2 linked regions of the Canis lupus familiaris genome follow. The protein of the gene in region 1 interacts with the protein of each later gene in a biochemical or structural test. Links are inferred from orthologs where the notes say so. Each region holds a gene or a part of one and is shown on either strand. Other genes may lie near its edges.

What was found.
Region 2: the proteins of NGF (region 1) and NGFR form a complex in vitro, tested with the Homo sapiens proteins (2 studies listed by BioGRID and IntAct, with this or other methods). The link is inferred for Canis lupus familiaris from reciprocal best matches to the Homo sapiens genes NGF and NGFR.

What each region holds. Positions count from the first base shown.
Region 1 is NC_049238.1:53,428,405-53,431,481, reverse strand, and holds NGF (beta-nerve growth factor precursor), read left to right. Parts: upstream 1-1,760; coding exon 1,761-2,486; 3' UTR 2,487-2,538; downstream 2,539-3,077. UniProt on the Homo sapiens protein: Nerve growth factor is important for the development and maintenance of the sympathetic and sensory nervous systems.
Region 2 is NC_049230.1:25,556,566-25,560,384, forward strand, and holds part of NGFR (tumor necrosis factor receptor superfamily member 16), read left to right. Parts: intron 1-3,541; coding exon 3,542-3,683; intron 3,684-3,819. UniProt on the Homo sapiens protein: Low affinity receptor which can bind to NGF, BDNF, NTF3, and NTF4. Forms a heterodimeric receptor with SORCS2 that binds the precursor forms of NGF, BDNF and NTF3 with high affinity, and has much lower affinity for mature NGF and BDNF.

The sequences.
Region 1 (3,077 bases):
GGAAGACAGGGGAGGTGCACAACGAGGGATCGAGTGATTAGGGCAGGTGGATTAGACATGGCTGTGTGCTCTTGCAGCCAGTGGGGGAGACAAGCTTAAATCACTGAGCTTGAAAAGAAATTTAATCAAGGTAATGAGCGTGCTATGAAAAGGTGTGCATGGAACCGGCTCAGAGACAGAACAGGCAGCAGTGTGACTGAAGAAGACGAAGTCCTTGACCACAGGACATTGGAATGACTCAGAATTAAGTAGGTGTGTGGGCACCTTTCAATCCTAACAACAACCCATGAAATAGTGTTTAGCACCTGCTTTTTATCAATGAGGAAAGGAAGGCTCAGAAAGATTAAGGGACTTTCCTCTGCTAACAAGTAACTGAGCTGGGAATCCAAATAAGGTTTGGATCCAGATCCAATGCAGAACGATCTGTGGGAATGGGGAGGCGGTAGAGATGGAGTAGGAAGTTTGAGCACCCCCTCTAGGGGATGCCTTTAACCCTACCAAGATTTAGGGAAGCTTTGCAGAGGAGGTGACACCTAATATCCATCTACAGGTAGTGATTGGGGCCTTCACAGTTAGCTGCCCTGGGGGTGATCACTGGTGGGCAACTCTAGTGCAGTGCGGAGCCCTGTCTGGACCATGCTCCAGAGGGGCTTGCACTGCCTCTTGGGGACAGATGGATTTCTGCCATTTGGTTTATACTCACATAAGAGTAAATAATAACAGGCAAAGGTACCTGTAAGAATGAAAGAGCAAGTGAAGAGGAGGGAGGAAGGGTCGGCTGGCAGAGTAACGGGTCAGCTTTGGGTTCTATTTCGAGTCCTGTTGGCACTGATGACTTTAGACCTGTTGGTTAATTTTCTGTGGATTACTTTCTTTGTATATGAAAGAAAGATGAAAAATCCTAACCCAACACACAGACTAATGAGAAATTAGAAACGAATGTGCTTGAGAAGTTTTAAAACTTCACACAACAAGGAGCTATCCTCAGCATCGGTATTTGTGAGTGCTGACTGGTGGCTGAATAGGCTGGCAATCATGGTCCAGAGCTATATGCTTTTTGACCAAACATGATGCTTCATGGACTTGTAATGAGGGTCCGGAGTCACCAGATCTCAGAGCTGAGCCAGTGCTGCTGTCTGAAGAGGGTGTATTCAGGGCTGAGGCGTCCAGACTAGTCCCCAGCAACCCTTCCCACTGCCTTCCCCGGGGGAGTCAAGCCACTGGGCAGGAAACAGCACTAAGGACAGGTGTCAGGCACACACCGCCCGCCCTCAGCTGCCTCAGGTGGGCAGGCACAGCACTCAAGGGACTCTGCATACAGTGCTAGCAAGTTCACATGGAGCCAAAGGGCAGAATTTCAGGGGCTCTGTCCCTTCCTTTTTTTTTTTTTTGTAAGATTTAATTTATTTATTCATGAGAGACACAGAAAGAGGCAGGGACTCCCTGAGGGGAGCCTGATGCGGGGCTTGATCCCAGGATCCCGGGATCACAACCGGAGCCAAAGCTCAAGCACTGAGCCACCCCGGAGTGCCCTGGCTCTGTCCCTTCTTGAAAAAGCCTACCCATCCATGGTGTGACCATATCTCCAGTCATCTGAGCCAGCCCTGCAGATAGATGCCTACTGTCCCAGGTAATTATGGCCAGCAGCCCCTTTCACTCTCAAAAGTCTCCCAGTTTGGACGGTGAATTCCAAGGTCACCCTGCCCTTGGGCTCCGGTGGACTAACCCTTGTTTCTGTTTCCTGGCAGGTGCATAGCGTAATGTCCATGTTGTTCTACACTCTGATCACAGCTCTTCTGATCGGCATCCGGGCAGAACCGCATCCAGAGAGCCATGTCCCAGCAGGACACGCCATCCCCCACGCCCACTGGACTAAGCTTCAGCATTCCCTTGACACAGCCCTCCGCAGAGCCCGCAGCGCCCCGGCCGGGGCAATAGCTGCCAGGGTGACAGGGCAGACCCGCAACATCACTGTGGATCCCAAACTCTTTAAAAAGCGGCGACTGCGTTCGCCCCGCGTGCTGTTCAGCACGCACCCCCCACCTGTGGCTGCGGACGCTCAGGACCTGGACCTGGAGGCCGGCAGCACCGCCTCCGTCAACAGGACTCACAGGAGCAAGCGGTCTTCGTCCCACCCTGTCTTCCACCGGGGGGAGTTCTCGGTGTGCGACAGCGTCAGCGTGTGGGTGGGCGACAAGACCACAGCCACCGACATCAAGGGCAAGGAGGTGATGGTGCTGGGAGAGGTGAACATTAACAACAGTGTGTTCAAACAGTACTTCTTTGAGACCAAGTGCCGGGACCCCACCCCCGTGGACAGCGGGTGCAGGGGCATCGACTCCAAGCACTGGAACTCCTACTGCACCACCACCCACACCTTCGTCAAGGCGCTGACCATGGACGGCAAGCAGGCTGCCTGGCGGTTCATCCGGATCGACACGGCCTGCGTGTGCGTGCTCAGCAGGAAGGCCGGGAGACGAGCCTGACCTGCGGGCCGGCCCCCACCCTCCCCGCGCCCCCCTCCACACCCTCCTGGGCCCCTCCCTACCTCAACCTGTAAATTATTTTAAATTATAAGGACTGCATGGTAATTTATAGTTTATACAGTTTTAAAAAATCATTATTTATTAAATTTTTGGAAGCATCCGGGGTGCCGGCGCTCCAGTTCTTTCTCCCAGTGTGACCATGTGCAAGCCCCGGCCGCTGTGCTGTGCGGGTGGACTACCCACAGCGTCCCCTGGCTGTAACTCTCACCCCACCCCAGCCAGCTCTGCAAACTTCAGGGAAATCTGACTGGGTTCACATATTAGCCTAAGCCGGACATAATTAGAAAGGGAAGTCTGCTGGATTGCACTCTGCTCTGCATTCCAGAGCCAAAGCTACCTAAATCCTTGGATTACCTGTCCCACCGCCCCAATGCGTGGGCCTTGATTGCTTTACTTGGGGGAAGTCCATGGAGCCTCAGCAGAAGCAGGTCCCCACCTCAGCGATGCCCAGGCTGGGTCCTGGGGGCGACTCGCTGTATAGTAGGAGGAGACTTGCACCAAAGACCTATGAGGTTGGCTTGTTTTTAGGGG
Region 2 (3,819 bases), on another chromosome or scaffold:
TCTGTGTCATCCCTCCTTGCTCCCAAGATTGCCCCCACCCTGGACCAACAGGATGTGACAGAGTCCAGGCTTCGAGCCACTTAGCAGAATTGCTTCTGTGAGCCTCAGTTTCCCCAGTTGTCAGAGAGGAGGTGATGGCATCCCTCAGCATCTTGGCTTCTGGAGTAGCTGTGTGGAATGATGTCTCCTCTTCCTTATGGGACTTCCCACGGGGGTCATGGACTATGTCTCATGGAAAACTCTTAGTTCAATCTGGGTAAATAGTTGTTAACTAGTAACTAGTTGCTAATTAATTAGTTAACTACAGGGAAAGCAATTTCCATTCTCCTTTGGCCCTCTTCAGATTCTTTCTGGCGGATCTTTCTTCATGCCTATCCTGCTCCCTCCTCTTACGTGGTTTCCTCTTTGGGCATGACTGCAACTCTCCCCTCACACTGCCTCCCGCCTAGGCTCCGGCTCCGTAGCTCAGCCTGAGACAAAACACTTCTTCGATAACTAACATTTATTGAACTCCTACTATATGCCGGACAGACTTGCATCAATTATTTCATGCAATTTTCAGGGCAACCCTGAGCAGTAAATATTATCAACCCAATGCTTTAGGTGGGAAAAATGCATGCTTAGAGAGCCTGAGAATTGCCCCAAAGTAGCAGACTGTTAGGTAGCAGATCTGGGGTGTTCAGAAATAGGACACATAAAACAAGCACAGGAAACACATGGTTACTAATTATGTGGCCTGGAGTCCAAATGCAAGACTTGGGAGAAGAGAGAGGACCACGGGGGAAGGGGGTGAGAGGGGGGAGCAGAGCAGGCTTTGAGGGAGAGGGACATGCACAGACCACTCAAGTGCCATGGACAGACCCCCTCAGCTTTCCAGCAACTGGAACCTAGTAAAAAAGCCACAAAAGAGGCAAGAAAGACCTTGGGAAAGAAAAAAGAGGGATCCGGAAGTGTATAAACACCTTCTTTATTTGATGCCTACAGCAATCCCACGGGGCAGGTATTGTCACCATTGCCTAAAGATGAAGAGACTGAGGTGCAGAGAAATTCCAGCCTGTCCCAGATCACCCAGCCCTAAGCGATGAGCCAGGATTCAGAGTAATGGAGGAAGACAGTATAGCTCATGCTTTTTACTCAGAGAATTGCCTCCTCCTGGTTCAGATCCTACCTACAATCACATTTGACATCTTCCCACCCAGGCTAATGACATAGTTTCTGTAGATTAAATTTGATGTAATAATTTAGGATGGGAGGGGAGGGGCTGCTCAGATCATGCCTTGGTAGCAGTGAAAACTGACAACTGATATCTTGACAGGAAGGAGGGAGACAGAAACACTTTAAAAAAAAAAAAAAGGCTGACAGAAGAACTCAGAGACAAAAGTGTGGTAATTTGGGATAAAGAACACAGGGCTTCACTGCACTGCAGCCCAGTATGATCACTGGTGTAAATACTGAGTCCCTGAGTCATGGGGAAACCATGAAGGTATGTTCTGGAATCAGAGGGGTGCAGCCACAGTTAGGTGATCAGAGCAGCAAATCCTCAACTACTGGGAAATTCAGCTATTCAGAAAGTCTCCCCCTGTCCCCTGTGCCACTCCCCAGCCTGGAGTTCTAGTAAATTGAGGTCATTGTATTTTCATGTTCTTAATTTCATAAATATACATGTTGGGTATATATGGGCAGCAGATCTGGGGAGTTTTACATATATATATATGTTTATATATATAAATATATATAAATATATATATATATATGTTTATATATATATAGCCTCCTGATCTGGGAGGCATGGGGGCCACAGGATCACTTCCCTGAAGAAATGACATTGAAGCATGAGCCCTCAAGGATGAAAAGAAATCCAAACAGACTCTTCTGGAATCTCGCTCTCCCTCATAGTGGAAAGCCTGCATCTGGGACCATGCCCCTGCCCCGGCCCCCGTCTTGGCTTCTGGTCTGCAGATGTTCCCAGACCTGTGTTCCTACCACCTGGGAGGAGATGGTGGCAAATACCCAAGGACCCCACTGTTATGCTGCCTGCACCCTCCCTGCTGGTCTCTTGAGGACCACAAGATGCCTCCTAGACTGATCCAACCTGTCCATCCCCTTCTTTCTGCTAAACCCTGGTTAGACCTCAGGAGATTTTAAAGGACTAGAGGGAAAGGGAGTATTTTTGGTTATGATTTTGCCAACGTGGAAGCAGAGTGTCCAAAATGACCTTTAACACTCCCCTTTAGTCCCATGACCCCATACTTCCTCTTGCATCAAATAGGAGCTGCGTGGTCTGAAGCCAGGGAAACAAGCTTTGGAGTTTTATTAGAAGATTTTTTTTTTAAGGAATAGAAACATAAAACAAGCGGCCAGAACTCGCCCCCCCCTGCCTCCCCCCACCTCCACCCCCCAGGGAATCTGGTGCTAAATCGTTCCATCCATGAGCAAAGAGCAAAGATGCCTCGGTGGCAGGAATCTGACTCCCCTTTCCCCTGGTTCCAGCACTGTTCCCACTGGCTGCATGGGGGCAGGGAGAGGGGAAGACTGGTGGCTGGAATTCAAGCCCTAGTGGAGCAGGGCTGCTGGGGGTGAGAGCAGCCGCTTTTTCATTGTCACTAACAGGCATCCCTTTTTCCCTGCTTGGTGCCAGATTCTTGCCAATCAGCTGGTTCTTTGCTCTGGCCCTGAGTGGTCTCTGTGTCCATGGATGAGGAGAGGTGAAGACTCAGAGAGGGAAAGCAGAGCAGGTCAGAGCTCCAGTTCAGAGTCAGGATTCGAACCCAAGACCCCACTCCTCTGCCTTCTGTTTTTGAGTACAGACACCTCCCATTTTTTTTTTTAAGATTTTTATTTATTTTAGATAGAGCGAGCGAGAGAGAGCATGAGCAGGGGTGGGGGCAGAGGGAGAGGGAGAAGCAGGCTCCCTCCCAGGATCCTGGAGGGGTGATCCCAAGACCCCGGGACCCTGACCTGAGCTGAAGGCAGATACACAAGCAGCCAAGCCACCTAGGCACCCCAAGACACTTCCCATTTATGTTTAGTATGTGGAATGGTAGAATTAAGGACCCGGAGGAGGGCCTGCTAGCCTTTGTTAGAAAAAGCTTCCCTCTGTGTAGACAGAGCCCTGCTGGTGTTCAGCTTGGGAAGCAGCATTTGGGCTAGAGTTTAGCTTCCAGTTGCCTCCTTAGCTGGCAGCCCTGTGTGAGCTGGAACCTGTTCTGGCCAAAGGACCACAGCTGGGTCCCAGGCTGTCTTGTCTTCCCCATGTGGTGTATCCTCAGGATTCCAGGAGTTGCCGTAACCCCAAGATGAACTCTGTAGAAAGTCAGCATCCGGGGCTCTGACCTCACACCCAGGCAGCCTGCAGAGGCGCCCTGTTCCCCACAGCCCTTTTTTTGCCGCCAACTTTGATGTGCTTAATGCCTCCGTGGTGAGCTCATCCCCGCCCAGGTGGTTCCAATAGAAGGCTTTAGGAGGGGGTGTTTGATCTCTTGGAAGATATCCCCTCTCGCTTCTCTTGCCAGTCTGACCTTCTGATCTCCCCTCCGCCCAGGTGTCCCTTGGAGGTGCCAAGGAGGCATGTCCCACTGGCCTGTACACCCACAGCGGCGAGTGCTGCAAAGCCTGCAATCTGGGTGAGGGGGTGGCCCAGCCTTGCGGAGCCAACCAGACCGTGTGTGAGCCCTGCCTGGACAGTGAGTACTGGGTGGTGGTCTGGGGAGGGGTGGGGAGGTGCATGCCCGCTAGAAGCCTGACAAGGGCTCTGCCTCCTGGCAGGGTCTCCAGCTCGCCTCTCTGTGGGCACCCGAATGGGTCCGACCCAGTATAGGA